Caenorhabditis elegans: one gene and its partners. The protein of the gene in region 3 purifies or fractionates together with the protein of the main gene of each other region. This does not show direct contact. Each region holds a gene or a part of one and is shown on either strand. Other genes may lie near its edges.

Region 1 (8,075 bases), on a different chromosome or scaffold from region 3:
AAAAACCGAAGATAGTGGATGTTGTTGAGCCCAGAGTTCTGACAGCTTGCTTCCCACAAACGCTTACTCGTGTATGTTTGACAGGAATTTACCTGACTGAAAGCCTGATTGACCACATGGTTTCTCTGAAAAACTTGGCGAGCTTGGACATGGTTGGATGTTTGGTCGATACACGTGCCGGTGCCAAATATGTTCCAAAACTTGGTAAGCTTCAAACTATTTTAATTTAATACTGAATATCTATTTCAGAACAAATGAAAAACCTCGATGATCTGAGCATCCCTCCATCGATGTTCTCTCTCACTTCAACAGCAAAGACATCAGTTGATTTTAACTTTCGTCAGCTGACAGTTTCGAAGATTTCGATTTTTATGGACCAGTTCGAGGATGTCACTTTTTACGATCAGATCAGACATTTTTTGCCGAAAAATCTCCAATGTCTTGTGATTTTTGGAAACTATGGTCCATTGAAGAAAAAGAACCGATTGAACGCAGTCAAGAACTTTGTGGTATGCTTATTTTCTTGCAGTTGGGGAGTTTAGCATTGATATATTTCCAGATTCTCCTCGGTCCAAACGCTCCACTCAGTTCTTGTCCAAAGGAAAATCTGGCTAATGTGACCATTCTATCGCATTTGGTCCGTCGTCCACCATACATTCCGACGACAAATAGTTCAAACTTTTTAAGACGTCACGTGAGTACTCTAACTTTTTACTAGGTTTCAAGTCTTTATTCCAGGATGTCTCAGTTGGAAATCTATCCTGGCAGTTTAGCTTGGTTGAGTGGAAGAATAACAATGGAGCCAAGAAAGATGTGATGGCGTTGAGAACTCGTCTGAATGCGGCTCCAAATGAAGATTTGGTATTTGAGGGAGTCGTTATTGCACCGCCCGTGATTCGTGAGAGATTGAGAGAGGTAAGTCGAGGATCCAAGGATCCTTATAAACACAATTCTAAGACAATGCACAAATCGCGAATAAACTGTGAAACAAAAATTCTTTCAGAATCGTCGCATGCCGATGCAACACCTTGTGCTTCCAGTTACTCCTCCGTTCGATGAGCCTGATGATCCTGCTCCACCATTGCCAGTTGCACCTCCTCCTCTCCATGGACCGAACAACAACGGCAATGGACCAGCTCAAAATGGAAACTAGCACTGATTTTTTGTCATATTCAATAAAGCATTGAGAGCAGACAACGAGAAAAATGTGTGCATATTCAGTATCTACTGATTACAAATTAATAAGAAATTGATAAGAAAGTAGTGAGAATCAACGTTTTTTGGTAATTTCAAAAATCGAATTATTTTTCTTCAAATAGATTTTATTTGGTGAAAATCCACTTTCTATTTCCTCCTAGCCTAGAACCTCCTGGTTTTCTAAATCCATAGATCAAACCATGTTCAGCTGATGTCCTTTGTGTGTTCCTTTATTTCCCGTCTGCGTCTCTATACCATGCCACACAGTCTAGTTATTACACCACCTGCGTCTCTAGGTACATTTTCCCTATCTCGCATGGCATCATTATTCCTAAACATTTTCGGGTTCAATCATTACATATCTGTATATATTGTATAATTTATTCAAAATGTCATGCTTCACCTGCTCATCGTTTTTTGGCAGACTACCAATGGAAACCGATGATCCGATACTAAAGCGATTGCCACGTGGCGCTAGACCGTGGGCGGTACTTGTAGGTGGTGTGATGTGTATGGTGACTTTTGGAATCGTTTATACTTGTGGTAGGTTTTAAATTGTTATAGAATCTAGAAAGATTTTGTGAGATCAAAACAAATTGGAGAGCAAATATTTCGGGAAAACTTCCAACATTTCTTATTAAAACTTTGTAACCGTGAGTAATAGGAAAAATTGTCAACTAGGAAAACAATTTTCAATTAATTCTAAATATTTTATCAGTTGACAGCTTCTCGATTATTTTCACAGTTGACAAATTATGGCGGTTTAAAAATTTAATGGGTGGGCGGCGAGCTTTCTCGGTCTCGGTTAATCTACAAAACTACCAATTTCGGTGTGATAATCCTTGTTTTCAAATTTAAATTTATTTTTATAATATAGAAAAATATTTTATTGATTGGAAATTATTAAAAAGTACCTCGAATACTACTTGAAAGTTGCCATTTGTTGGAAAAAACTGGGTTTTCTTTTGAAGAATTTTTAATTTTGGAAAATTTATGAATTAATCTGAACAATTTGAAGCATTTATAAAATTTCCAGGTAACCTTCTACCGTACCTTGTCTCGTATTTCCGATGGAAAATGTATCCAGATATGAGGACGGGGCAATTGATTTGGTTGCAGACACTTTTGAGTTTGTTTTTTTCCATACTTTCAAGAAACCAGACATTTTGAAATTTCAGGCGGTCTCCCGATGGGAATGGTGATTGGTGGTCTTGTAGAGAGAAAGTTTGGTGGAAGAGCTGGTGCACTTTTAGGTTCAATTATTTATACGTGAGTTTAAAAAAAGTTACAGATCGCGATGCACCATGTGCTTAACAAAAAATGATCTGTATTGTTACAGAATTGGTGTTGGATCAACATTCTACTCAATTCAACACTCCTACGCCGCAACACTGCTTACGATGGGAGGCATCGCAAGCGTCGGAAGTAGCATTGCCTACAGTTCCATTTTGCCAACTGCTCAGAGGGTAATTTTTGAAATTTTTTGTTGTAAATCTTCAAATAAAGTCTTGATTTCCAAAATCTAATTTTTTTTTCAAAACCCCTAACCTCTGCTAATCTTCAAAATTTCAGTGGTTCCCTGACAATGTCGGCCTAGCCGGAGGCATCATAATCGGTGGATATGGATGTGGTGCATTCATCCTGTCACCCCTTCAAACCACTTTTATCAATCCATTAGATTATCGTGTCAACGATCAAGGATTCTTCACTCAAGAGGATCTTTTGGAACGGGTTCCCTACGTTTTCATCGTGATGTCCATCTTTTTTACGGTTTTTCAATCGATTGGGCTCATTTTTATCGGGCAACCGGAAGGCGATATTCACGTTGAAACGGAGAATTTGATTGGGACGAACAGTGAAATTCGCGTGGAACAGGCGAGGGTTTGGCCGCAGTTACGGTAAGTCCTGCCGCGAGGCATTATACAGACAAATAACGGGTTTTTTTTTCAGAACCACAACTTTCCTAGTACTATTCCTGTCGTTGACATGCAATGCCGTTTGGGTCCAACTCACAAGTGGTCTCTACAAAGCTTATGGGCAACAATTTATCGATTCTGACTTCTTTTTGAGCTTGATCGGATCGATATCCTCGATTTTCAACGCTGGGAGCAGAGTTTTTTGGGGTGCAATTGCGGATACGGTTATTTTATTATGGAGTCGCAGAAAAATTCGCGCTACGCCCCCAAGGGTCGGGTCTCGTTGGGTATTGGCGACAAAACAGTTAAACTCTAAAGAAATACCGAAAACATGTTTTTTAAAAATTCTTACCGCTAATACCTAACGAGACCCAACGTTTGAAGGCGGAGCGGTCTTGATTTTCCAATAATTAATTTCAAATCAAATTTTCAGACATCCTATCAATTTTCCATGTCGATTGTGTGCAGCCTGGGAGCAGTTTTGGCATTTTCGATGCCACTGGTGAAAATGGTATCCAATGATGTTCTGTTTTTGGCCACCGTTCGTTTTTTTCTTTTTTTTTCTCATTGAAATTACAGTTTTTCAGGTTTGTCTGATGTTTTCCTGCATCGGAGGCACATTTTCAATCTTTCCTTACATCACGCACAAGTGTTTTAGTAAGGCGAATTTCAGTGTTATGTATGGATTTTTGCAGTGTGCAGTGGTAAGTGGAACTTATTACCGGGATGCGAAATTTTCCGGTTTTTGTGAAAAAGCACCCGGTCTTGACACGACAAAATTTTGTTAAATGCAAAGGGATGTGCGCCTTTAAAGAGTACTGTACTTTCAAACTTGCGTCGATGCGGAATTTTTATAAATGAAATAAAACATTTTAAACACATACATTTAAAAAAATGTGAGAAAAACGATGAAAATGTCGCAGTAGCGAAAGTTTGAAACTACAGTACACTTTAAAGGCGCTTACCTATTTGTTTTTAACACAAATTTCTCGTTTCGAGACCGGGTACCGTATTCGCGAATACATGAATACATTTCAGAGTGTCGCCGGACTAATCGCTGGACTCATTTCAACACATGCTCTTTCTGAAATCGGATTTGAATATCTTTTCATTGTTTGTGGATGCTTCATGTTGACCTCACTTTTCCTCACTTTTATCGTCCACAAAACCGATTTAGCTCAGTTGTTGGTTTCTGCTGAACGAGAACATTTGGAAGAGGATGAGAATGGATATCAAGTTTATCAGTAATTGGTGCACTCATGTTATAGCTTCTTATCAATTTCCTAGAAAATCAACTCAAACCTGTGATGATCCATTTGTTTCCCGTTACCTCTATCTTACAACTTGTTCCATAAAATTGTTTCTTCAAAAGCTAGTAATACACATTGAGCACGTATACGTTTACTATCAAACCGAAGAGTGAAAGGATGAAATCGATCGACAGTATTAATAAATTAATGATAAAACCGGAGAAGGTGCACGAAAAAGAAGAAATTGGGGAGGGCGAACATCAATAAGAAAAATACACATGATGGCGGAATTATACACAAAAAAGTGGTTAAATTTATGCCCGTGGGGCCGCGAGATCCAAGTTCTTGTGAACCATTTGCTCTTTCAGAATGAGATGGGAAACTTTGTTCAATGTATCCGTCAGTTTGTGCACGTTGCTCGCCCATACATCCAATTGCTCAACATTTGCCTTTTTCAAACGAAGATTGACAATACGGGAAGGGCGATGAAGTTTTGCTCCGGTGATCTGACCGGTAACAATGAGGTTACACACAAATGATTCCATTTCATCAACTGGGAAGTCGAGGAGCTCAGCGAGACGTTCGAAAGTGATTTGAGTATAGTACTTGGCAATCATACGCATGTTCTGTAAAAATACAAATAAAAATTTATAAATTTTAACAGGTTTTTAACTTATTAAAATTTTAACTTACGTGCTCTCCAACACGAAGGTGCAAATCAGACCACCGCTTCTCTCCTTCAGTTGATTTGTCGAAAATTCCGGTGTCTGGTGAGCTAGTTGTTCCACGTCTTAAAAGCTTCTCGTACTTTGCGACAATGGTTCCTTTGAAAGAAATGAGTTCTTGGTTGATGAAAAGATCCAGAATGATCTGAAAAGAAAACAATAATTAGATTAAATTCAAATCGCACAGCTTACCTTGTAGTCTGGAACGGTTTCCAATTCTCTTTGAATGGCAATTCGGTTGAGGAGATCCCATTGCTCGTTTGTGTGCGGAGCCAAAAGACAGTAGACAATGGCAGAACGAAGATGTGAGGTCGCCTTGGCTGAATCAGCTTTAATCTTTTTCGTCTCATAAATTTCACGATGATGACGGCACACGTCCAGATAGTTTCCATCGTGAAGTCCGATACGGATCATCGAATCGTAGTATTTCAGCTTCAGGTTCTGTACTTCATCTTCGTCTGACTTGTTGAAGAACTTGATATTGATTTTCTTAGAGATAATAGTGGCTCGCACAAAATCATTACGAACGAGAGAATATCTCATTTGCTCGAGAAGGTATTGCACCTTCTCTCGCATTTCCATGGAGCCATATGTTTCCACTTGAAGTTCAAGAAGCATGGTTGCAGCTTCGTCAAGCTTTCCCTCTCTCTCCAACTTCTTCACAACCATCGAGGTGAGGCGAGCACGTTCCACTTCCACATAGATCTTTCCAGCTGTAACAGTGCGAAGAGTTTCAATAAGCTTCATCTTGAGGTCCTCGGTTGGCATTTTGTCAATCATTGCGACAGCATCACGGACCATCTTTGCGATAGCCATTTTGATGAGAAGTCTTTTCTTTGAAAGCGTCATGATTGTTTCCATAAGAAGATCCCATTTCTGCCCTTCGAAACAAAGCTTCGTCTGCAAATATCAGAATTAATATTTTTTTTTTAATTTGAAAAGTATTATCACCATATATTGAACAACGCGTGTATTGCTCTTCATGTCAGCTCCAAGACGAGTGAGCTTTTCGATGTTGTTCAGACTCTCTACAGCAGCAACAGCGTCCTTTTGAGCGATATCTCGGGCTTTCAGAAGTGCTTCGTCGACTTGTTTCGAGTAGTCCTGCTCCATTTTGAACAAACGACCATCTCCACCCTGAAAATCATTTAATGAAATCTACAGATAAATTCTCGAAAACGTTTTAAAACTTACATGAGCGGCCAAATGAGCCAAATTGTCAAGTTCGCTTAGTTCTCCGACATCGACCGGGTCAACCGGGATCGGTTCGCGTCTGTCGGCCATATCTGGAATAACAATAATTAGAATATATAGTTCTGCTTTTTTAATTGAAAAATAACTTCAAAACCTATAAAAATATTACTTTTAAATGCACAAAAATTTTAAAGGTAGAGAGTAGAAAATAATTATTTCTTGAGTGACAATCCGCACAGCTGAAACGAGTGTTACCGTACCTCAAATCGCGGTAAGACCCAGGAGGAGGAAGACAAAAATATTTGAAAACGATTTTTCGAGCGTTTTGTCTTCATCATCAGAAATTTACCGCATTTTCAATGTTTGCCTCATTTTAAAACTATTGCTTCTCTCATTGTGATCATTTGAACATACTTATTCTTCCAGTTTTTGCTCTTTTATCATGTTTTCTCAGGAATTTTCTAATCTATGATCTCTTTGACGTTAACAATCTATTGTTTATCTCATGCTATTTTCAGATGTTCTATGCACAGTTCGTTCTCGCCAAAAAGGGACCGTTGGCAAAAGTGTGGCTGGCAGCTCACTGGGAAAAAAAGCTGACAAAGGCGCAAATCTTCGAAACAGATGTTCCCCAAGCGATCGAGGAAGTCATTCGCCCCAAGGTTAAAATGGCGCTCCGAACAGTTGGACATCTTCTCCTTGGAATCGTGAGAATCTACTCGAAGAAGACACGATATCTTCTGGCTGATACAAATGAAGCGTATCAAAAGGTAATTAAAGATAATTTAGAACGACAAAAACAAAGTAAATTTTCAGATGAAGATTAACTTCCGCAACGGATTCAGTTTTGAAGTCGACATTCCAGAGAATGCAGAAATTGAAGAGGATTTCTCAAACTTCATTGATAAGTACAATATCACAGTGCCCGAGTTCCACGATGCCGACTACAATGAGCAGCTCATTATGGTGCGTTGTATTAAAAGCAATTCACATTCAATTTAATCGCTGTTTCAGGCTAATGTGAGCCGTCGTGAAGACATCACCATGAAAGAAACCGTCAATTTCAATGTCGAGTTCAACATTGACGCAGATTTCGATGGGTTCGGTGACGAAGGAGAATCTTGGCAACTCGATCATCTCTACGGATCGGTGGAACCTTTGTCTTTGCGCCCCACTCCTCAGCCAGAATCGTTGATGGAAGTCGAACGAGATCGTGATGTGGCTGCAAATGGAACGGAAATTTCCCGTATAGATGCGGATAGTGTGATTTTCTCCGAAGGACCAACACGTCCAAATCTTATTTTTGACAATCAGGAAGGCGGAAATTTCATGCCTGAAATGAACCTGAAGGTTGAGAATCAAACACTGGAAAACGATGGTGGTGTTGGGCCTGCTGATATGTTCAGCTCAATGATTCATCCCGTCAGAGAGCATGCTGTCGCAGATGTTCAAAACGACGATGGTATGGACTTTGACTATCAACCGTTCGAGCCTGAAAACGTTGAGCCATCGAGACCACAAAGTCCCGAGTCATTTGCCCTGGAGCCTCTAGATGTGGAGCACATGGAAGGACGGAAAAAACGTCAGAGAAAAGCGAGAAAGCTGATTGTCGATGCTGAAACTATGATTTCAAACGACGCTTTCCGAGAGCAACAAGAAGACTTCTCCGATACGATGCGAGTAGTTGAAATGGCGCCTCCTACCAGAAAGATGTTCAATTTATGCGTCAGCGGAGATCTTCAACACCTCAGCCGTGAACCTGGATGCAAAATGTTCAACAGAGAACTCCTTCA
Region 2 (6,772 bases), on a different chromosome or scaffold from region 3:
CGTTTCTCATCATCTTCGTAAGCTCGGATCCAGACATTCCATGGGGCCCGGAGGCTCCAGGCTCTCCAGGCTTTCCGTCCATTCCTGCTGGGCCTGGTGGTCCAGGAGGTCCAGGAGGACATTGGTTTTGAGAAAGACAGTCTGAAATTGAAGAAATGGAAGAATGGCCGTGAGAAATCTCTGACACGTCCCTGTGTCGATTTACGCAGACTGTGTACTCCTCGAGGAGAAGATTTTACTTTTTTTTCAATTAATCTCATTTTTGTAACATGTTTCGTTTTTGAAAAAGATTAAATAGGCTATTTAAACTGTCCAGGTCTCGACACGGATGATTTTTGTTAAATTTGAAAACGTGTGCGCCTTTAAAGATTACTGTAATTTTTAACTTTCGCTGATGTGGAATTTACTTCGATTTTTCATAGTTTTTTGATAAAAATAAATGTATTTATATGAAAACTTTTTTAAAAATGCAGTTTTTAAACCAATTTGGAAAAAATGAAAAAAATCTGAATAAACGAAAGTTTGAAACTACAGTACTCTTTAAAGGCGCGCACCTTTTTGCATTTAACGAAATGTTGTCGTGTTGAGACCAGGTACCGTATTATTACGACAAAATCGGTTAATTTCGCGTCAGGTTAATAGAAGTTTCAGTTTTTTTAGCAGTAAATTATTTAATTTTCACCTAATAATACGATATATATAAATTTATACTCAAGTTGAATGTGCGATTTAAATTTTCAGTCTAAAAAAGTACAAAAAGTACTGTTATCCACGTTCTCCACGGTCATTTGTATATTATACTACAGTCTAAAAATCCTCTGTAAAACTTACTACAATGAGCCGGAAGATCGGAACGCTTCTGACGAACGGTGGCCGAGTTGCTGACGAGGAGCTCTGACTTGAATTTCTTGTCATTCAAGAACACCACCTCATTCCAAGCATCATCAGTTCGTCCCTGTCCCTCTTTGAAGCTCAACAAGGAATCATCCAAAAATTGATTGATATCCTCACACACCGAAGCGGCAAAAAATGCACAAAACGAGATGCACGCAACGCTCACCAGGACACTTGTCCAGGTGGCAATCGCCGCGTTGTCTACAGTCATAGTTCTAGACGACGAAAATGGAAAGAAATGGCAAAGTGACGGTGGACGATGTCTTTATAGAACGAAGATGGGGGAAAGTACAAGAAGCTAAATCTAAAACCGGTTTGTGTGGTTGCATGTATGGATAACGAGGTGTGGAAGCAGTTTGGCATGTTCGATGGCGGTTTTGGATGACAGCGAGATGGAGGAAGAACAGTTGCGCAATGAAACGAAAAAGGATATATTGGATTCGTATATCAAAGGGGAACACGAGAAGGGATTAATCCAATTTATTATGGAAGCGCAGAAAAATGCGCATTATTGAGGTCGAGGTGCAAGCGCGCTCCAGGTGAAAACGCTCCGCCCCTAAACGTTGGGTCTCGTTAGGTGTTGGCGGCAAAATAAAAAAAACAAACGTTTCAAGTTATTATTTTTTAATGTCCAAATTGATTATATACAAGCCAAAACCTAACGAGACCCAAAGTCTGGAGGCGGAGCATTTTCATTATGGCGTTGGAGCACGTTTGCACCTCAAATTCAAAAGTCGCATTTTTCTGTATCCCTTTTTCGAATTTTGTTAGGTTGTTGGAAATTCGGCTAGTTTTCTACACAATTACTTGAAATTAATGGGGATATGCAAAAAGGGGATCTGCGAAAAGAGGAGATACGAAAAGGGGAGCTGGCACTGTGCCAAACGCACAAACCGCTTTTTTATTCTCATTCAGCGCACGACTTTTTTTTTGTATTTTTCGCTAAACAACGCGCGATGCGTAATAACGGAGTGTGGTTATAACAAAGTCGTGCGTTGGATGAGAATAAAAAAGCGTTTTGTGCGTTTGGCACAGTGCCAGCTCCCCTTTTCGTATATCCCTTTTCGCAGATCCCATTTTTGCAGATCCCCTTTTCGTTCTGCTCCCCTTTTCGTGGGGCCTCAAATTAATCACGTGTAACAGCCACATTAACTGAGATCGTGGCGAGACCCGCAGCGTGTGCCTTTAATGTGGTATCAGGTCTCGAAACGAATAAAAATGCGCCTTTAAGAAGTACAGTAGTTTCAACTTTAGTTATTTTCTATGCGTTTTCTTATTTATAAATTATTGTCGAAACTTGTCACTGTATTTTTGACTAAAAACCGCAAAAATTCATTGATCAGGTTTTTCCATGTTTGGCTTCCCTTGCAATCCATACCTTAATCCTTAAACCTCATTTCTCTCGAACGGAGCTAGGAACAAGGGAAAACCTTTTCTCGGGGGAGCGCAGCGACCCGAGAATGGGATGTTTTCCCGTGACAGCGGAGTGAGAGAGACAGTAGCAAACTAAAGGCGCAGGCATTTTCCTCCGGCACGGGTCTCGCCGCGACAAGCGCCCCGCGGGCGCTGCGGCGCCTGTTTCTCCTCATTCTACGTGTGCAATCCTTAAAATCCATACCGACGATCCTCAACTTTTTACATTAAAACCAATATCCTTGTTTCTAAATTCTCAATTAATTTACACTTTTATTGCTGTAAAACAAAACAAAACAAAAAACTCAAAACAACTATTTTCTGAGATCGAAATTAGGACGTCACTTGTCCGGGATGCTTGTCGGGACGATTTTTTCGAACGAGAAATTTCATTTTCCGGTTCATGTCCTCGTTGAAAATCGCCGTTGATGCTTCCATCGACAGTGTTTTTCGTTGCATGTAGGGCTTCTGATAGAATTGAGTGCGGCGAATGATTTTCAGCATTCCTTCTGAATCCATCAATCTGAAATTATTTCAATCTTGAAATTATGTTCTGGGAATTTTTCCAAAGAAAACCTGTTAAGAAGTCCGAAAGCTCCATCGACATCATTGTTCTGCACCATTACTGTTCGAGTTGCGAATCTTGGATGTGAATTCCAAATTCCTTTGAAAAGTTTAATCGCGAACGGCTGAGAAATCGTTCCTCTCCAGGTGAATTGACGTACCATCTTTAAAACAATTATCAAAAAAATTCTAAATGAAAAACCGAATCGAACATTTATCTTTCATGGATGGATAAACCACATTTGACAGCGAATAAAATTGAGAAAAAGCGAAGAGAAAACAAGAATCGATTTATTGTTGTTCTCAAAAGTCTACACAATGGCTCGTGGCATAATATTACTTCTACTGTCTGCGGGCGGCAACACGGGCGTCAATCTCTTCTTGGACTTCTGGGGAGAGAGCATTATCCGGTCTTGGGCGAAGACTATCAAGTCTGAAGAGGACGGAAGTTGGGTATGCCATGAAAGCGACGCAGATGAGTCCGTAAAGGGCAACCTGAAAAAATTGGTGTTATAGTGAATAATATGGATATCTGGATAAATATGTTTTTGAGCAGCTAAATTAAAAGTGAGACAAATTTCAAAACTGTATCTTTTAGTTCAGAAATTAATTTTTCAAATCCATTCAAACGAATGTACAAACTGAAATTTAGTTTTTTTTGGTGAGCTAGTGGTATTTTAAGTTTTACTGCTCACAAGGATAAGTTCAAGACATTTAGCAAATAAAAAATTACCTTCTCGCTGACAGAGGTGAAACGGAGTGGTGGGGTCGAGTCAACTCCCTTGTGAAGCGAGCGACGGATGACATGTTGGCTTCTAGCCAAGGAGAGCACAGCACGGTTCAGCATCCTGCAATAAATCGTTTAAATTTACAGAGTAATTGAGCAAGCATGATAATCCATAGAAAACGAAACAGAGAATACGATTCAGGCGGTTATAAAAACAGAAACTATACGAAAATCGTTAATTCTACACAATGAATCAAAAAATTATTTGATTTTGCTAATGGATGAAGCTTGAAAGCTGAAAAATAGTAAAAATCTGCTTAAAAAATAATCGGCAGGCTGTGAGAGGTTAAAGGCGCAGAGACGGCTGACGGAAAACAAAAACAATCGTTGCGAGACCAGCCGCTTGGCTACGTGCCAAGTGTGAGAATACGGAAGGTGAGAAAGACGGAGACACTGCGAAGCGAGTGAACGGTGAATGCGAGACACCAAAACCCGGAAGTGGACAGGCAGAAATTGATTTTCTCGTTAAAAATTTTTTGTATTCAGAATTGCAATCAATTCAACTAATCAATATTGATATTTTCATCTTAAAGTTTATCTACTAATTAGTATTTAATCCCACAAACTCGTAAATTTCATCGCGACTCACGTTCCCCCGTTTCGCAGTGTCTCTTGTTTCGCATGCTGCGTCTCGTTTCTCTTCTTCTTCACATCTCCTCGAGGCTTACAGTTTTTTCAGCATATATTTCAGTTTTCCATCATTTTTCTGGAGTTTTTTATTGAAAAATGTTGTAACAGAAATAAATTTAAACATTTCGAAGCTATTTTCATGTTATTTTGTCCGTTGTTTCCCTTTCAATCGACTATTCGTTGAAGTTTTCGAGTTTTCCGTTAAAAATCGTTGTTTTCCAGAATCTACACATTCCAAATGGATGGTAATGATATAAATATACAAAAAAACGAGTTTTCTCGAGACCAATCAGCACTTCTAATGATGGATCAGCATTCCGACCATAAGAATCACGAATCGGCAATCGGCGAGCCAGGAATGTCATACACAGCCTCTCAACCGGCTCTTTCCTCTACTGAGCATCAAACGCCATTAGTTTCTGTACGATTTTTTATTTTTCTGCGATTATTCAATGATATTGATTACAGGAAGCAAGCGTCGCAGCTCCTCAAAATCATTTGAATGGCAATTCCCATGAATCGGTTTCCGAAATGGATAGAGTAAGTGTTTTATTCATTTAAAATTTTAAAAAAAGTCTCATCTCAGAATTCGGTTGATTTTGCGATAGAATCAGTGCTCATGAAAGTGAGTGTAACCTCCGATTTCACTGAACTTCCTCCATTTCTCAACGTAATTTTCCAGGCGAGAGCTTACAACAAGATGGGCGCTCCAAAAGATCCGAGGAGAAAGCAGCACAATCCGAAGAGCGAGCCTAAAATCGAGCCACATGTGACAGATTCATCGGATAATCAGGCTGCAATGAGCAACAAGATGGAAGCGGAAGCGCCGAAGATGGAGTCAAATCAGAACTACGTCAGCAACGGATCTGAGGTATGGTTTATTCTGAAATGTGGAAGATTATTTTCATTCAAAAAAAATTTATTTATAAATTTATAAATTTTTGAAAAAATTCAAATTTCCCGTGGCAATATCATACTGAACTTTTAAATGAAGAAAAAAAATTAATTGATAAATATCATCAAATTTTATTCCAGCCTCCATTCCGTTTCGTTTCAATTTCGAATTTCGACGAAATGAAAACAAAAAAGAAAGAAGTTCAAGAAGAATTGAAGCTTGAGGTGGACTCGGACAGTGAAGAAGATGATGTCCCAGAGCAGAAAACTCCAAAGGAATCGGATCGATGTGGAGGATGCGGAAAATTTACTCATGAAGATGATCTAATTGCTCTTGAAGAGGAAAAGAAGAAGGAAAAGGAAAAGCCACTGATGAGCAAGAAGAAATCTCACCATCACAAGAAAAATGACTTCCAATGGATTGGCTGTGACTCTTGCCAAACCTGGTACCATTTTCTGTGCTCAGGCCTCGAGCAATTTGAGTATTACCTGTATGAGAAATTTTTCTGCCCCAAATGCGTTCCACATACCGGACATAGCATTCGTAAGTTTTTTCATCGAATAGCTTGCAATTAAATATATTTATTTATTATTTTAGGATACAAAGTCGTCGCCCCACATCGTTATCGCTGGTACAGTCCGAACGAGAAGCATCTCGGAATTGAAGTTGGCTCAAAAACTTGGATTGAGGATTTCATCACCAGAGAAAATACTGTTCCCTCACCGTAAGGGAATTTTCATTAAAAGATGACTTGGTTGTTATTTGTGAAGACTCGAAATACGCCAAAATGAACGAAGACTTCACAAAAATTTCAAGAAAAAGAGTTAATCTCAGCTGAAAACTCCCATTTTTGCCGTTTTCTCACATTTTTCGTTTATTTGGTACATTCTGAGCTGTCAGTTTACTAAAATTGGCCTTTTTTGATTACCTATTGGCTTCAAATGTACATAAATCAACGAAAAAACTTGAATTTATCACCTATAATAATGTTTTTCGTTCATTCCGGCACATTTTGAGTCTAAACAAGCAAAAAACCCAGACCTCCCTTAAAGATTATTTAAAATTAAATTTGTATTCTTTAGAACCGACGATGAGGTTTGCATTGTCGAAGATGGCTACGAATTCCGCAGAGAATTCGAAAAACTCGGAGGAGCTGACAACTGGGGAAAAGTTTTTATGGTCAAAGACATGGACGGCCTCAATATGACAATGCCGAAGCCTGGATTCGATTTGGAGGATGTTGTGAAAATTATGGGATCGGATTATGAAGTGGACACGATCGATGTCTATAATCAGAGCACCTATTCGATGAAGCTTGATACGTTCAGAAAACTTTTTCGCGACACTAAAAACAGACCACTCTTGTACAATTTTCTGTCCCTTGAATTCTCGGACAATAATGAGTGAGTTTATTAACTGAAAACAATTGAAAAATTAATTAATTAACATTTCCAGGATGAAAGAAATCGCTAAGCCGCCAAGATTTGTCCAGGAAATCTCAATGGTCAACCGCCTGTGGCCTGATGTCAGTGGAGCGGAGTACATTAAACTCCTCCAGAGAGAAGAATATCTTCCAGAAGATCAGCGAC
Region 3 (8,790 bases):
TCCGTTGTGGCAAGCGGCAACAACTCCAGGTGGAGCTTGTTCCTTAACCTGCTCCCAAGTCAAACCAACAGCAGCCATAGCACCCTTAATTTCAGTGTGCTTCATGATGGTGGTTCCACGATGATAAGCAAGTCTCATTGTTTGCTCACGAGTAATTCCTCCGTCAGCATATCCACATCCCATTTCTCCAGTTGAATGACCAATTATTCCATCTGGTGAAACTCCGAGAGCAGTGAGAACATCAGTCAAAGCGATTTGGATAGCAGTGATGGCGAGCATGCAGTTCATAGTGTTGTTGGAGTATTGTTCTGGATCTGGATTGCAGAGCATTCCGTAAACATCAAGTCCAAATTCTTCAAGGGTCTTGCTGGAAGCACGAAGAGAATCATCGAACATTGGAATCTTCATGAGCTTGATCGCCATTCCAGGCCATTGGGATCCCATTCCAGAGTAAATGAAATAGATCGGACGAGCTTCAGTAATTGGGACCTTGGTGATGCTCTTCAAGGTCTCAACATTATTTTCTCTATCCAAAAGCATGTATCCACGGAATGGAAGAAGGTTGGCTGGCATGTTAGCCTGATTGGCCAACAAAGCTTGAAGGTAGAGATCATCCTTGTTACTCTCAATTTCGGTGAAAATGTTTTCAACAGCTTCTTGAGTTCTTCCACAGTAACTGAAATATTTTACGTTCAAAACTGTTCTGAATCTAGAAATATATTTTTAACTTACGTGACAAGTTTGGTGAATGGATGTGGGGTGATTGGTGGAGCTATATGATCAGCAGCCTTCAAGATGACGTGAGTGTTAGATCCTCCGAATCCGAAAGAGTTGATTCCAATAAGTCCTCCTGGAAGTGCAGTTGGCTCCGTGACAACCTTCAAGCGCCCGTCGGTAAGTCCCGGAATGTACTGATTTGGAGTATTGTAATGCAAATTTGGTGGAATCAATTGACGTTCAATGGAGAGAAGAATCTTGGTCAAAGAGCAAACTCCAGATGCTGGCTCAGCATGTCCCATGTTAGATTTGACTGAACCGATTAAAAGAGAATCAGTACGCTTGGAGCAGAAAACTTCACAGATTGCGTTGGCTTCCTGTGGATCTCCGACCTTAGTTCCAGTTCCGTGAGCCTCAACGTAGTAGACTGAGTTTGGATCGATTCCAGCCTCAGAATAAACTTCTTGAAGCAATTGAGCTTGTCTTTCTCCTGATGGGAAAGTGATTCCATGCTCCTTGTGCCCTAAAATTTAAATGTTTGAGAAAAACTCATGTTTTAATTCTGGAAAAAACTCACCATCAGTGTTAGACTTGGCGTGAACAACAGTTGCATAGAGTCTTTGAGCCTTCTTCTTGCGTTGAATGAAGATGGCTGCAACTCCTTCAGTACGACAATATCCATCACCAGATTCGTCGAATGAACGGCAGCTTCCCTTATCTGTGAGCATGCCCAATCTCAAGAATTGGAGAGCTGCAGTTGGAGTCAATGTGAGATGAGCTCCTGCGACAATAGCGGCGTCGCATTGACCCTGAATAATTAAATATTAGAATAATTTTTCATCTCAGATTGAAAGTAGAAATCATCATAAATTGAACTTGCATAAAAAACAAAGCAACGAACCTGTCTAATAGAGTCGACGGCAAGTTGAAGTGCCAAAAGTGAAGATGAGCAAGCGGTGTCCACCGAGAAAGATGGTCCTTGCAAATCGAATGTGTAAGAAATACGGTTAGAGAACATAGAACGCACACAACCCGTCAACGTGTAGCCCGTTACAGTATCTGGGTCTTGTGTGAGCATTCCAGAGGTTTCTGAAGCTGAACATCCAACAAAAACTCCTGTTTTGGATCCACGGAGGTCAGTGGGATTTATGCCTGAAATTTGAGTATTATTATTTAATTATTCCTTTTTTGTTTTTTAATTGAATAAGCACTGTTCTTTTCCCAATTTCTTTATTTGACTTGTTCAATATTCCAAAATCATAAAAGTGGAACATCCTACTTGCACGGGGTCAGTAGTGCGCGCGCATGACGGTCTCAAGGTTACCACCACAGCCCGGTACATCGGGGCACACTTTTTCCGATTTCCGTCTCCTTTTCCGAGGGAGGGATATAGATAGAGAATACGAGAGAGAAAAATGGACATACCCGCATCAACCATTGCCTCCCATGAAGCTTCAAGAAGTAGTCGAACTTGTGGATCCATGAAATTTGCCTGTTTTGGAGTAACTTGAAAAAAGCCCGCGTCGAATTTGTTCAACACTTTCAGTTTTCCATGTCTTTTTGGCAGATCGCAAAATCCTGGTGTCCATCTGAGAGAGTCTTCCGTTACCAGGTCTTCACCAGCAAGAAGCATGTCTCCGAACATTTTGACGTTATCGCATCTGAAAAAATTGGAACGTTTGACATATTTCAGTAAAATCGTGAACGGTTTCCGCAAAAACTTAAAAATAAGATTATTTAAAATTATTTGTAAAATTCTTAAAAAAAGTATATTTTACTTTGAAAGCTTAAATATCGGATTATTTTAAACATATCAACGGATGATCATTTTTACAGTTTTGTATAGGTCAAATTAAAATCAAATATTAGCAGTAAAAGTTGATGAGGTGCAGTTCTAATAGAGGAAACGGTAAATGTGATATTGTCAGTACTTTCAGATGGGTTTATTACATTACCCAATTACCGTTCTCATCCGTCATCAAAATTTTAGGTTTCAAAATAGATGTACCTTGGAAATCGGCCCGAGACTCCTGAGATTACGATATCGTCCTGCTTCTGCCACCATTGTGTTGGATCCATGTTGTCCGAAGACTGAAATTTTCAAAATTAGTTACAATTTTAAACCGTTTGAATACAAATCTAAGAATCGAAATGTGATAACAACCATCAAAGTGGTTCTATGAAACTTATTGATTTTAAAATCTCGAAATAGAACCAGACGGACAAAACACAAACACATACGCTCACTTGTGAATGAGGCATGTACTCAGAAATGACAAAAGAAGAGGTGAAGGGAAGATGGAAGAAAAGAAGAAGAATAAGATGACAACCGGACAACTAAGAAAACTAGGAAAACGAAGAAGATGCGGATACGGGCGCTCTGCTGCGCGGTAGAGATGGTAAAAGATAAAAAGAGAGGGACACGGGAACCGTCGAGACATTCGACGATCCGTTTAGGTTCTACGACGACAAATTTTCTAATTTTAGGGTAACAAGAGGTGAAAATTGAATTCCTTGGTTACGGTATCTTCCCACTCACTGAGGGATGTTTTGAGATATTTCAGAGTAATTATCACATTAAAAATCACGTCATACGAGTTTTATTCAAAAAGTGCAGTACTTACTCTAATCTATTTTAATTCAGTGTTTTTCTCAAGTTTCAAGATGTGTTCTGACACTAAAACAAAAGAAGTTGTTTGATTTATGACTGTAAGAGGAATGTATCTTTGTAGCCACGTGAAAAGTTAGAACTAACAATTAATTTTTAGTCAACTTTGAAAGCATTTATCTTGGCTCATTTTACTGGTGTCAAAAAATAATTAACTACAAAACTGTAGAAAATTAAATAACTAATAGTTTGTCAGTTGGTAATTTTTCGATAAAACAAAAGACAAGCTTTCAAAGTCAAGCAATGGTACAAGAAAAAATAATAAAGTACTCGCTGAAAGACCTTCTAGCATTTTCTCCATCAGACACTCATTGTGATTTATACTTGAAAAAAAGAAATGTTTTAGATTGCCAAGTGTGATAATTTGAATAACAAGTGGCGTGATTCATCTGAATTCGCTCACTCCATATTTATACCGATTCAACTATTTCATAACATGATGACTTAGATCACATGAATGAGCTAATCAAGACAATGAAAGTGATGACATTAATACCGGATCCATTCGTGCTTCTTCTTGTCCCGTGAGATAGAATCGGGTAATATCTAAACGACGAGACCGAGGCATTTCCAACATTCCATGTTAATCTACAAAGAAGAGAGAAAAGAGAAATAATAGGAACTCAAAGAAAGGTCGAGATGAGGAGAAGAGATTATCGATAGGAGAGGTCCTTTTTGCAGATGTGATGTCCCTGAGTTGTCCGTCGTCTTGTCAGTTACTGTGTGATCTAATCTCGGGGGCCGATACTGTATCTGATTGCTGTCGATCATCGTCCCTTCACCCGACACGACCCGACAAAAGTATGACGGAAAAAAGTCGCGGAGAAGTAAAGGAGGGAGATGTTTTAGGAAAGATAAACGATTGGGGATACAAGAAAAAAGAAGAAAAAGACGGAGAAAATGAGGAGAACAAAGTTTTCGGAATGGCCGCATTCTTTCGATCTGTTGCGTCTTTTAAGCCATTCCGTCTGCTCTCAGAACAGTGGGCGGAGAGGAGCAAGAAAAAAGTGACTGTACAAAATGAGATTGAATTCTTGAAGAGAGGTATAGAGAAATACAATAGAGGCGACTATAAATAAATATGTGAATTCACCTGAGAATTGTCCGAAATTCGCTCCCAAGTTCCACTCGAATCGGACGATCCTTCTCCAGTATTATCCATCGTTCGATAGCTGAAAAAAGGTTTATTTAGAGAGTTTTCAACAATTGACGAACAAATTAATAAGATTAATTGAAATAATTAATTATTGTTAAAAGTGCTAGAAAATAGTTATATCTATGTTTGCCTCTACCGTACTCATAGATAACATCTAAAACTGAACAAATCACAAAATTTCTTTCGATAAACCTGAAACTGTTGACATCATAGAGGTCAGCTACGTTCAGAACCGGTTTTTTCAACCATGTGTGATTGAGGTATGTTCGACCAAATATGAGTAACTTATTAAAGACGGGGTTTGAAAAGTAGTGAAGTATTCATTCTTATTTAGTCAAGTGATGAAAACCTTGAGTTTTTCGCTCAGCTGTATTTTGTTTCACCAGCAGAATTAATTCTAGATAATTTAGTTGAATTTAACGATTATCAATGCACTAGAAGCAGAATTTAGCTAAAAAAGAATCACAAAGTTGGGAAAAAAGAAGAAGAAGAAGTGTGTACATCTTCGTCGTTCTTTAACCATTCTTGGACATGGACTACACAAGAAGTAACAAGTGAAAGATGAATGGACGGGATGGGGGCGGTGAATCGTTGGTGGTTTTCGACAATGTCCTATCCGAGAGAATAGTCATAAAAGAGACAGAGATTCGACCTTGGGACATGATCGCATCGATGTAAACGGTGACCAAGCCCCGGGAGAGGAGGTCAGAACCTACTTATTATCCCCTCGTTGCCCCCTTATTCCGGCGATGTGGAATGTTTGTGTTCCCACCGCAACGAAAAGTTGCATTTGTGGTCAAACACGCCGTTTGCAGTTTTTGCAGTTCACGTGATTCTCTAATGAATCTTGAGAAAACGAAAAGAGAATCGCCAATTATTTTAAAGAATCGTCGGGACATAAAGGTGTTAAGTCAATCCCTTTTAAACAGATTGGAGATGACCCCATTTCTACGAAACAAGAAGATTTTGCAGCTAAAAGTTTAGAAGCACTTGATTGGTTTTTTTGGGGGAGAGAATCTGGTTTCGATGGAAAGGCAAATATAGTGCATCTGATCTTACTGATTTTGCACGATTATGATCAAAAATTGGCAGATTCTGAACTAAAACCATTTGATCTTTGTTTGCAAGAACTGCACTTTAGATATAATATTCTACATTTTATTTTGCTAAATACCTGGGACGAACGAGGTTACAGTTTTTGTGGCCGGTATTGTCATTGTGTGGGTTTTGGCTCATTAATTTTGATTTATCGATTTCAAAAATAGCTCAAATTTTGCATAATTCCAAGTGAAACGCCTATTGATGAAATCGTACCGCCACTTCGAAAAAAAAAAGAGAACTTTTGGAATATGTGTGTTTAATTAAATAATGTAATTTAAAGCCGACTCTGCTACTGGCATAATCTCTTAATAAATAATAAATAATGTTGCTAGACTGAAAGTTTGGAATTTTGTTGGTTTTTCACTGAACATCTATCCCTTCAAAGTGGCTTATCGCTGCTTTCCGTTCAAAACTACTCACAAAAATAATTAAAATGATTAAAAATAACGTATTAAAGTTTTTCAAAAAATTTGAAATGTTTTTATTTACAGTCAAACATTGGCAATATTTCAGGTTTCACATACTTGGAAATTAGCCAAAAACTATATTCAGGTTTTTTTAATTTAAAAGTTTCATGCGGGTTTACTCTACATATATTTCTTCAAAATCCTAACTGTTTCAAACAATATGGCATTGCCAGAACTTTGACTAACTTTTTTCGAAAATCCAAAATACTTAAAAAATTTAATTGGTTGTGCTATACTATTGTGGCTGCATTAGAACAAAATTCCCACAAACGCTACTCAATCTTCAAGAATTTTCAGAATTTCAATTATCTAGACGGAATGAAAAAGTGGCAAGCGGCGGCAAATTTCACAGCATCATAAAAATTTTTTTTATGATTGCGTGGGATGTTTGGCCAAGCAAAAGAAATTGTACAGAAAAAAATTGAAGAAAAATGGAAAAGAGGAAGATGGAAAATGCTACTTTTTACATTAAATTCAAAATCAAAACCTCCTCCCAATAACGTAATTGCCGCCACATTCTGGTTCTTCTATCATCAATTTGAAAATGTTTGAATAGGACCACACTTTAGAGACCGTTAACAATTAGAAAAACAACAAAATAATACTACAGTACTATATAATTTTGATGAAGAAAATAAACGTTTTTGAAACTAATTTTTGACTACTTTTTTGTTCCCATGCCTGTTAACATCAAGTGTTTTGAAAATGTTTGACAAACTATATGCTACGTCACAGACCAAGGGTGGTCTGATTGTGATCTATTCATCTAGAACAACCATCAGTGCAAACTACTTCGCCAACAAATATGATAACAATTCGTGACGTTGACAAACGGATGTTTGACGTAATTTTTCTTTGAATCGGGAATCGAATGTTTCTTTGGACAATTATATCCGTTGATTTAAATAAAAGTTTTGCAGGAATTCGATGGTTTAATTGAACAATCAGAAATTGCTCTTACTTTCAGGTGGTTAGAGTCAAAAAGAACATAGTATCTACCAAGATCATTTTAGTTTTACGGTTTTTTTTTCAAAATTTCAGATGACTATAACTGAAAATCAATGCAGTTCACAACAAATTGTCAACTATTTGTTTCAAATATTTTTGCCGTTGGTAAACTTTTTCAATTTTACTACAGAAAATGTCTTTTTAGTCAGAGTCAAAAAGTGGAAATTACTCAGCTTTACTTTTTTTTGGAAGTCAACCAAAAAAATTTCTATGAGATTAGGGTTGTTTTTTTTTAATTAAAAATTTAAAAGAAACATCCAAAAACACTTCTTAACTCTCAAAGAGTCCAAATTAAAAAAAATTAACAAGACTAAAAAAAGGTATAATTCACAAGTAACTGTTTATGTTTAAAAAATGCGAGCCGAGTAATGGGTTATATTTTAGTCTTTTTTTTTTAACTGCTAAACTTTTGTATCATACTCATTGGAAAATTCAAATAAATCAGTAAAAACCAGACGAGAGATCAGAAATTTGGCAGGTAGTGTTAAAAAATAAGATGTTTAGCCTTCCGTGTAAATAAAATAATTCAGGATTTGAGAAAAATCTTTTATAATGTCGGAATATCGTGAAAAAACCAAATGATCAGCTTGCCGATATGTGCTGGATCGATTCTTATCGCCACCCATGACGCATATGTTTAGATTCATACTGCATACTATAACTGGCTCTATTAAAAAGAAATTTCATCTTTTTGAATCGTATATCTAGCTTGCTATTGAGAAAAAACTCGTTATTTTTAGACTTATCAGATTTAAATTCATCGAAATGCAGAGAGGTGGGTCTATGAGTTTATGCCAGCGAATTAGATAAGAAGGAAGCGATATGTTGCCTCTATTTGGTTTCAAATGATCATCAAAACTAACAAAGTTCTAAAAAATGCAGTATTACGAAAAGTTCCTTATTTCATTTTATTTTTAATTGTGATATTTTCTTTTATTGCTACATATTATCCACTGACAATGCACAATGAGCATGACGAGGAAGAGGTTTTCAACTTTTTTTTTTAATTTAGAACTTTAAATCCTGACAAGACAAGGAATATTAGATATACCCACACTTTAAATGCGCCATAGTTCCATTATTACTAACTGAGCTGAAATACTTCAAGCAGCAGAGCTCCAGTAATTTCCTAACTGAAATTAGTTCTGTACACTACTTCACTTCACTTGGTTCATAGAATAACTTTAAAAGCTGTTTTCAAGGGTGGTCAGTGTATAAGAAAAGGAGCTTTTGAAAATTTTATTTATTTAAAAAAAACTCATTTAAGAATTGACAAACACGTTATAGAGTTCTACTCCGAAGCCCGCTAAAAACAGCATCAAAAAATGTGAAAATTGTTTTGGGGCACTAAAAAAGACTCAAAAGTAGTGAAAAAATCATTAGGCAAATTTTCAAACGAAACCCAGTCCACCGGGTAGATCAAGAATAGATGAAAAAACTGTTATCGTTTACCACAATAATATACCAAGTTGAAGTCCGTAAACTCACTGCCTTTCTTTAAAGAATGTACTACTTTTGAAAACCTGATCTTATGGTTACTTGACAAAAACGTTATAATTGATCTTTTGAAACGATCTACAAAACTTGTTCGTGCATGAATCTGAGTTTCGAGCGTTTTGTACGCGTACAATCCCCACGCAATCTTGTAAAACTTTTTGATGATTCTAAAAGCA
Region 4 (8,931 bases), on a different chromosome or scaffold from region 3:
ACCTGATCCATTGAAACTTCTTGAACCAATAGCTTGGAGCATTTTGGAGGCTTTCGGACAAACTTTCTTTGCTCTCCAACCACGACGAATGCCTGGATTCGCTTTCGCTTGGCTCGATATTGTCGGACATAGAAACGTGATTGGACGTCTTTTGGCAAACACTGGCATTGCTGAAACCGTCGATGCTGTGAAAACGGCAGCCACTTACACTCAATTGATCATTTCTCATTTGAAGTTCTTGGCTCCATTCCTTCGTAACATTCAATTGCCAAAATCGATTGCCATTCTGTACAAGGGAACACTACGTGTTCTGCTGGTCATACTTCACGATTTCCCGGAGCTTCTTTGCGAATTCCACTATGTAATTTGCGATACGATTCCACCAAATTGTGTGCAACTTCGCAATTTGATATTATCAGCGTATCCACGTCAAATGCGCCTTCCGGACCCATTTGCATTGAACTTCAAACAAGTTGACACAATTCCAGAGATGGCAGTGGAACCGAAGTCCAATTTAAACATGGCTACAATCATACCAGATAACATTCGAATTCCATTGGATGAATATCTTGCAAATCGTATATCTGTCGATTTCCTTCCAAACCTGCCGACTCTTTTGCAAACTCAGAATCAAGCCGGTACCAAATACAACACTACTGTAATGAACGCTCTCGTTTTGTACGTCGGAATCAGAGCTATTGAGCACTTGCACTTGAGACGTCAACGTATCTCAACGCTGAACATAGCTCATACATCGTATATGGACATTTTCCAGAATTTAGCAATTCAATTGGATACCGAAGGTGAGGTTTTTCGAAAAACGCTTTCAATTTAAAAATCTAATTTTCAGGACGTTACCTTCTTTTCAACGGAATCGCCAATCAACTTCGTTATCCAAATGCTCATACACACTACTTCAGCTGTGTATTTTTGTATCTCTTCAAGAACTCTACAAATGACACAATTCAAGAGCAGATCACACGTATTCTGTTCGAGCGTCTTGTAGCTCTCCGACCTCATCCATGGGGACTTCTTATAACGTTCATAGAGCTCATCAAGAATCCAACATACAACTTCTGGCGTTATGAGTTCACCAGTTGTGCACCAGAAATACAGAGGTAAATTTAATTTATTATTCTCTTAGGCAAATGTTTTATAATCCGATACAATTGTCTTACTATGTTTTCGTAGACGATTTACAACAATATTTCTCTCAGATTGTTCCAAAATGTTGCCAACACTTGTGTCCCAGCCCAAGGATCTCAGCCACAAGCACAACCAGATGGTGCCCCAGGACCTTTAGGAAACAATACCGGAGCTGCTAATCAACAGCAAAACCCAAACACCAACTGATTTTTCTCATCTGGTCTTTCGGTTCCCGATTTTCTGATCTTTATTCTCATCACATTTTTGTATTGGATAGCTTCTTATGTCGAAATACGGGCTGTTCTTGATTTTCTCCTTGTTTTTTCCCTCTTCATTTTCTGCTCTCCAAATCATTCAAACACGGGGCTTCAACACAAACTCAAATTTTTGAGATATATACTACCCCTTTCGCAATTTTTGTAGCTTTTTTAAATTTTTATGCGTGATGTTCGATTATTATTTTTGTTTTATTAATATACATATGTTCACACTAGAATCTCTGCCTTTTTTCCTCGTCCCCAAAATTACCCTTTTCATGCAATTTTTAGATTAGAATAACGAAAAAACGGCTTGAAGTTAATGATGGTTGAATTTTCAGAAAGGGTGGTGGTCTTTTTCTGTAAATTCGACGTTTTCTGCCCGCTTTTTCGTTATTTTAAAGACTTGTACATCCGATAGATCGATTGCGCCATTTTCGACGTATTCCTCCGTGTATAGAAATCTTTTTAAATTGTGTGAAAACATTTAAAATCGCGCTAGATGTCTTTGTCTATTTATCGTTCCCATAACCTTTTTTCAATTTTGCGTCCTTGTTATCTGATATCATTACGATTTGTAGAGGTTTCTCTTTCATTCCCCTTTTACCAATTCGCAATAAAGAACGCGTCATTTGATATACTGAATTTCCAAATTTTTATTAACATCACAGATTTGGATATTACGTAATCATCAGAAAGATATAATTTCTACATTTGTAGCGCGTAATATCTCATAGCGACTTTCTACCGTATAATTGAACTGAAAAATAATTAGTACGGTAGAAAGTCGCTAGAAGATATTTCGCGCCACATAAATAGGAACTCTTTTAACGGTTTTGCAAAGACTTTCTATATACTGAAACAATTGTGCAACTTAAATTTATTGAACAACGTCGGGTTCGGGGGATATTTAAACGTTTACAAAATAATGCAGAATGGATAGTTTGATGCTTCCAGAGGAGGAGAAAAGTGAAAGGTCTAGGTTAAAAAAGAGGGAGTCGTCAATTATAAAAAAACATAATAAATTTTCAAAAGGAGAACGGAGGACTGAACCGTGAGGGAAAATCGAAGAAAATTTAGAAAATGGGAAAAGTCGAGATATTGTACAAAAACAAGGCAGAACAAAAAATGAAGATTCGAAGAAATCATCAGTTAATTTTCGAAGCATTACTATAGAGTGCATCGACAACCTCTCCCATTGCATGAATTGTATCCAGAGCAGTTTGGTACGCCTCATCGGGAACAGCAATTTCAAATACAATAAGCATTCCCTCGCCTTGATCAAGAGATCCCGAAAGTTTTTGATCGAGAATCATTTGGGACAACTTCTTTTCGACCTGAAAGTTTTATAAGTTTGTGTAAAAATTAACAACTTTTTTGCATTTATATTTAAAAAACAATATTTTTGGTTCTTACCTTTGATCTATCAATTCCAATCTGTTGAGCAACATGTTCAATTTGAACGAATGAGTATGGCTCAATAATACGGCACAGATCTTTTTCAAGCATTCGTTCACTCAAAGAATGGAAATGTTTTCGGACAACTGGATCCATTTGAAGTTCCTGTGGGAAAGAACCGAATGCAACTTGGAAATCCTTAAGAGATCTCTTTTGTGCAGCTGCGGCGATCGCCTTCATCGCATCCAAATCAGAACCATTGTATTTAAGAGCAAGTTTTGCGGACAGAAGACTGTTCACCTCATCTGGAAGGTCAAGCATCACCTGAAAAATTTAATATAGGATTTAAATATAATAGTAATTATTTTTGAGTATTACCTTGCACAGAAGCATATACTTAAGAGCGGTGAGGGCGGACACTTTTTCATCAACCGAATCGTATCCCTCAAATGCTTCGTAAAAGTATGAGAAAGCTGTCTTGAAGTCCTTCTCGTCGGCAGCGTGAAGAATTCCCGATTGAAGATCGAGAGCTGCTTGCATGCGAGGATTCACATAGATTGCGTTGGCAGTTGTACGAGCACCAGTGAGAGAAGCACGAGCACGACCAATATTGGAAAGATTATAGTACGCTTTGCTTTCCTCAAGTTCGACTTCCACGAGAACGTCCTTATCGTCGACTTTTTTCAGTTCACGAATCAAATCGGCAGCTGAAAAGTAGATTATCAGTTATTTTCAAATATTACAGCGAAATATATTACCAAGTGGAAGAGCCTGAGTGTATCTTTGAAGATCATTATAGAGGCGAACAAGACGAGCAGTGAGTGTTTGACGGAGGAAAGTGCGATTTTGCTCGGTGGCCCATTGAATACATTCTTTAACGAGTCCAACCTGAAAATAGTTGGGTTTATATTTGAAGCTTATTATTCTGCTCACCTTAATATCTCCATCTTGATCATCAATTTTAAGACATAGATCAACAAGATCTCTGACAAGTTTTGCAGCCTTTGCCTTTCCCAATGACACCAAAAATGGCCTCGTTTGTTCAATCATATTTCGGAGCTCTTCAGTTTGCTTATTTTGAGCCAAAATATTTCCCAATTCCATGATCGAATCTTCTTTCTTCTTGATATCATCGTCCCCAGATGCTGGTGATTTTACTTCAATTTGGGACAAATTGGAAAATTCTGAAATATGGAAAAGGACTCACCGAGATTGGTGAGGTGACGAATGACGTTTTGGTCGTTTTGATGTGGAAGTGAAGTCATTGTATCCATAATGGTTCCTCCAGACATTTCAGGTGCTGAAATTAAGATTTTAATTGCAGTAAAAAGTATTGAATTTTATGGGGTTATTCAAGTAATGTAGCAAAATGTATTAAAATACATTTGTGACGTCACAAATGTATTTAAATACATGTTTTTGTTTACTTGAATACAGCTGTGACGTAACTTTTCTACACTTTTTAATTTTCCGACACTACTTGAATAACCCCATTAAAAATGAAATAACGGAATGGAAATTGTCGGAGCCTCAGAAATCAATAAGTGCTTGCGGAAAACACACCAACTGATTATATCATTTTAAAATATGATAATTATCATTTAATTGATCAATTATCAAAATATAAACGGATAAAACATTAGAAAACTGGTAAGAAACAGAGAGTAAGACAATGACGATGACAATTCCCGCCAGCGTATTTTTCCCGGTGTGGTACGGTACACAAATGGTGTTTGCGGACTTGAAGGTGACGCGAAAATGCACAGAACAGAAAATTCAACAAAATGTTGTTTAAAATACAAATAAAGCTTATTTTTTTCGGGTTGATTAAAAAAATTCGAGTTTATTAAAAATTTACTTTCTCGTAACAATATGTTCTTCGTTGTGGTTAAATTGCACTGATAAAGACCAATAAGGTCAAGCCGCCAGTTTAACTGAAAACGGGGAGCCCTGAAAATAAAGAGTTGTTTTCGAACACCAGCATCGGGGAGCTGACTATGAGCAAATAGCGGGCTCGTATGTAAAAGAGCGGTTAGCACGTGAATTTTTGAGAGTCCTCTTGGGGGAAAAGTGGTGAATTTTAAAATGCTGTGTGGAGATCCAAAAAAAAATCAATGCAGGCATGCATGAAAAACAGGTTGATCAAAAACTTATTCTTTTTTGGAATACAAAATTGACTTTAAAACACCAAGTGCAAATAAATAATATTGAATTAACTCTTTTTCACTTTCAAGAGGTAAAGTTCAGTTTTTCAATAAAAAACGTACCTTTTCCAATATTATTAGTGTCTTCTCGTGAACTCGTTTCTCTCATTAGGACGAAAAGTTGTGTCAATTAAAATAATTTTTTGAAGCAGCTTCGAGGATGTCAAAACTTCAATGTAGATTTCTTTCATATATTTCTGAGCAGCTGACTCTCATTTTCAACTAAAAAACAACTAGTTATTTGGCACATGTTCTGGGTCTCGCCACGACTTATCCCCAAGATCCAATACATTCGTTTCAGAGAAATCTCACTTGATCCCTCGAAATGTTTGTCGTTCCTCGTCGTCTGTCATCTTTTTTATCACTAGGTAATTGATAAATTAAATGATTGTATCATCTCACACTCTAACCGTCTGGTGTCTTTTCATCTCACACGATATATGTATTTCTCTTATCATCTGTTTCTATTTCCTACGGTCATTCGGTCATATTCAGTTCACGAATATCGTCACTTGGCACGTAGATCATACGTTATGGAGACACCATCTATTGATATTCAAAGTGAGTTTATAATAATTTTTTACCAATAATTCTTGATTTTTCAGACATTCGGGCAAAATATCTAAACTCTCATGATCCATATCTACTCGAATCAAAGTTACCAACCACGTCACCATTCGAACTTTTTGATATCTGGTTTCGTAACGTCGCTTCACAATCTGACTTAACATTCGAAGAAATCAATGCAGTATCCTTATCCACCGTCGGAAAGTGAGCATATTACATTCAAAATGGAGAAAAAAACCTAGAAAGTATTAATTCAGAGATCTTCGTCCATCATCCAGAATGGTTCTTCTGAAAGCGTACACACCAACTGGCTTCTCGTTTTACACAAATTATACTAGCCGCAAAGGAAATCAATTGGAAGAGAATCCGAATGCCGCGATGCTCTTTTATTGGCCTAAAGTCAATCGTCAGGTATAATTTTCAACTGCTGAAAATTTGAAATCGAGATTATTTAATTTCAGATTCGAGTTGAAGGTGTTGTTGAGAAGCTTCCAGATGAGATGGCCGTCGCTTATTGGAATTCTAGACCAGTAGCAAGTCGAATCGGATCAAAATCAAGTGATCAATCAAAAGTGGTTCCCGATAGAGAATTCTTAGAATCCAAAAAAGTTGCACTGACAGAGTTATCTGTACGGGAAGGAGCTCAAGCAATCACGAAACCAGAATCCTGGGGTGGATATCATTTGATTCCTCGATATTTTGAATTCTGGCAAGGACAATCGGATCGTCTTCACGATAGAATAGTATTCGAAAGAGATGTTGATGTGTGGCTTCTCAAGAGGCTTTCACCATAATTCCATTCACTTCTATAGTTAAAGTTCGTGTAGATAAAAATTAAAAATATTTTCCTTGAGAAATACGTCGTATTTATTTATGAATTAGACCATAAAATTTTTTCTTACCAACGGAATTACTTCAACAAAAAATTACAAGTTAAAATGAATCAAATTAATCACAATGTATCCTGTTATATTCTTAATCACTTGTGAATTAGTTCTCGAATTATAATTTAAAGAATATGTATTTGATTCTTTAATGATCATTTTCATTTCCGAGTTATTTCAAATCAAAATGTCAATTGAAAATTTCAATTTGAAATAATAGCCCATAGAAAGGTAGGCTATCATTTTCCGAGGTTTGAATAACTTCAAGAACACCGCTTTTGAAGTTGTATTTTTTAGAGAAGAATATAGAATTAAAAATGCTAATAAATTGCAAAATTGTATTATTTACAGAAACAAAAATAAATGGTACATGATATTTTGAGAAAAACAGGGGAATGTTTCAAGAAATAATATTGGGACGAATATTGAGATTACACGAGTATTTAAAATACATGAATTGACTCGCAAAATGGGGAATTGATATACAAAGTGATAGCTTAAGTGAACTTGAGATAATCTGGTACGTAAGTAAATATATAATAATTATTATGCTGAAAGTGATAATTTTCTGGTTTTCTACGAACTTTTACAGTAAGCTTATCTGGAAGGCCTTCAATTTAAACCGACTTCGGTGCAGCATCTGCTGGATTCGTATCTTCTGGAGTTTTTCGTGTAGTAGATACAACCAGAGGTGACGATGTTTGGTTTGGCGATGGACACGGGAGAATAGTGTAGATTCGACGCATTTCTGAACCCAGAAGTCCTTGCTCTTTGATTTCCAGATATTTTCGGTACAGCTTCAGTGCATATCTCGCATCAACCACCGAGTCGTGAGCTTCCATTTGTATAGTTTCGCCTGAAAAATTTATATTTAAAATCTGAACCGAGCTAGACAAGCGAAGTTAAAGGAAAGGCCTCACCAAGAATCTCCTTAACCAGAAACTGCAATGATAACATTCTCTGGGTGCCAAGACGCATCAGAGTCACTGTGTCGATTATCTGTGATTCTGCCACCTGAAAATTAGCTTTTTAGCTAGAACTTTGCAAAAACAATCTTACATGCACATTGAGCACTGTGAAATCATTATGCAGAGCGTGTCCTACAAATGTGACTCCTCGTTGAATCAAAACATGCATTCGTAGAAGAAGCCGCTTGTGGGTTGTCAAGTATTTCTCGGAAGTCGTTGGACACAGATCAGCTTTCACGATTCCACTGAAAAAAAGTGAATAAAGATTGAATTCGAAATAAGTGAAGCATACCTAAACTTCGTGAGATAGTCGACAACTTCTACGTCATCAGTGAGCTTCACGTGATCGTCGAATATGATCCTTTCGCCTGTCGAGTCGACACAGGAGGCTCGACCAACTGCTCTCATCTGCACGGTTTTTCCGTCGAATTCAAGTAGATCGGTCTGTAAATTGAATTTTTTTTTACTAAATTCCGGATTTTTAAATATAGGGTATTCGAAACTTAGTTACTTACCTTAATCTTTATAAACTCTGCATCCAAACCGACTAATTCCTTCTCTTTCGGCAGCTCTTCCAATGATTGAACGGCCAATGACGTCATCCCGTTGCTCGCCAAATTTTCTTCCGCGAGGAACAAATCATTGGAAATAATATCCTCACTCGTTTTCACATCGAAGTTCTTCTTTTTATAAGCCAAAAGCGCGGGAAGTTTCCATCTTCCGTCTATGTGCCTTGCTTCATGATCATGCAATCGGCTCACTAGCTGCTCATTGATTAAAGTCCAGGACGATGAAATAACGGGACTTTCTCTCAACAATGTAACTGGATGAGTCCAATTTACATCGTTTTCTCCATTACCAACAGCATGAATCATCGCATCAAGCTCATAAATCACAGCAGACGGCTCATCATAGTCTGGGAGATCCGAAACATCAGACAAACGAACAATCCCCTCGCAAAGTTGAGCAGCGATTCTGGATGGAATGTAGTGTGCCCACTCTGGTAAATCCACGTCTTCAAGAAGTTTTGTCTGTTCTGCAGGCCAATCGACGAGTCCATGAACAAACTTGCATGTTTTCCTAAATTATCAAGATATTTTAATATGAACAGAATTACAAATTGAATTACTTGTTGCGACAATCCGTTCCAAATCTGCAATTTTTCTTCTCAGAAGGTGACTCTGGCACCGTTCCTAATGCAGAACTTCGATTGCCTCCTGGTTTTCGTTCAAAGAGAGATAATTGCCGACGCCAAAACTCAACAAATCCATTCGATGAAGCGTTTGTGTCAATTAGAAGAACGGGGGAGAGCTCCCGAACTTTTCTCTTACACTCCATTCGGCTCTGAAATTTGAATTGTTTATTTAATTTTTAAAAAAATGGACAAACCATCTGCTTGCAGTCTTCACACTCAATTTCTCCAGAATCATCTCCGATATGCAATGACTTTTCAATAAGTTGGCAAAGCGATGCTTGATAAACTGGAGCATAGTTTAGTTTGAGAAGA

What was found.
Region 1: the proteins of fasn-1 (region 3) and rpn-5 fractionate together in Caenorhabditis elegans (co-fractionation; one large-scale study listed by BioGRID). This does not show direct contact.
Region 2: the proteins of fasn-1 (region 3) and F29B9.11 fractionate together in Caenorhabditis elegans (co-fractionation; one large-scale study listed by BioGRID). This does not show direct contact.
Region 4: the proteins of fasn-1 (region 3) and rpn-6.1 fractionate together in Caenorhabditis elegans (co-fractionation; one large-scale study listed by BioGRID). This does not show direct contact.

The regions. Positions count from the first base shown.
Region 1 is NC_003280.10:4,691,921-4,699,995, forward strand, and holds rpn-5 (PCI domain-containing protein), read right to left. Parts: upstream 6,375-8,075; 5' UTR 6,373-6,374; coding exon 6,283-6,372; intron 6,226-6,282; coding exon 6,040-6,225; intron 5,989-6,039; coding exon 5,281-5,988; intron 5,234-5,280; coding exon 5,057-5,233; intron 4,990-5,056; coding exon 4,678-4,989; 3' UTR 4,501-4,677; downstream 1-4,500. Other genes in the region: F10G7.5 (MFS domain-containing protein), read left to right, coding at 1,587-1,740, 2,234-2,326, 2,376-2,466, 2,537-2,663, 2,770-3,095, 3,148-3,337, 3,547-3,654, 3,701-3,817 and 1 more; scc-1 (Sister chromatid cohesion protein 1), read left to right, coding at 6,801-7,052, 7,099-7,248, 7,297-8,075.
Region 2 is NC_003282.8:4,656,483-4,663,254, forward strand, and holds F29B9.11 (Cytochrome c oxidase polypeptide VIIc), read right to left. Parts: upstream 3,720-6,772; 5' UTR 3,719-3,719; coding exon 3,605-3,718; intron 3,367-3,604; coding exon 3,214-3,366; 3' UTR 3,149-3,213; downstream 1-3,148. Other genes in the region: col-111 (Nematode cuticle collagen N-terminal domain-containing protein), read right to left, coding at 1-141, 832-1,105; mrps-21 (Mitochondrial Ribosomal Protein, Small), read right to left, coding at 2,641-2,830, 2,884-3,035; jmjd-1.2 (JmjC domain-containing protein), read left to right, coding at 4,527-4,709, 4,757-4,828, 4,875-5,159, 5,324-5,726, 5,781-5,907, 6,266-6,586, 6,639-6,772.
Region 3 is NC_003279.8:8,981,976-8,990,765, forward strand, and holds the start of fasn-1 (Fatty acid synthase), read right to left. Parts: upstream 4,566-8,790; 5' UTR 4,548-4,565; coding exon 4,479-4,547; intron 2,809-4,478; coding exon 2,726-2,808; intron 2,379-2,725; coding exon 2,143-2,378; intron 1,870-2,142; coding exon 1,619-1,869; intron 1,527-1,618; coding exon 1,295-1,526; intron 1,241-1,294; coding exon 733-1,240; intron 677-732; coding exon 1-676. Other genes in the region: F32H2.8 (Nucleotide-diphospho-sugar transferase domain-containing protein), read left to right, coding at 7,963-8,103.
Region 4 is NC_003281.10:6,956,840-6,965,770, forward strand, and holds rpn-6.1 (putative 26S proteasome regulatory subunit rpn-6.1), read right to left. Parts: upstream 5,163-8,931; 5' UTR 5,115-5,162; coding exon 5,069-5,114; intron 4,102-5,068; coding exon 4,009-4,101; intron 3,959-4,008; coding exon 3,735-3,958; intron 3,690-3,734; coding exon 3,560-3,689; intron 3,509-3,559; coding exon 3,180-3,508; intron 3,126-3,179; coding exon 2,820-3,125; intron 2,741-2,819; coding exon 2,552-2,740; 3' UTR 2,271-2,551; downstream 1-2,270. Other genes in the region: CCR4-NOT transcription complex subunit let-711, read left to right, coding at 1-803, 851-1,118, 1,218-1,353; F57B9.1 (Putative pyridoxamine 5'-phosphate oxidase), read left to right, coding at 5,539-5,566, 5,611-5,776, 5,830-5,983, 6,034-6,366; PolyA-specific ribonuclease subunit panl-2, read right to left, coding at 7,074-7,312, 7,377-7,470, 7,516-7,669, 7,717-7,868, 7,940-8,504, 8,554-8,768, 8,814-8,931. UniProt on the Caenorhabditis elegans protein: Component of the lid subcomplex of the 26S proteasome, a multiprotein complex involved in the ATP-dependent degradation of ubiquitinated proteins. In the complex, rpn-6.1 is required for proteasome assembly.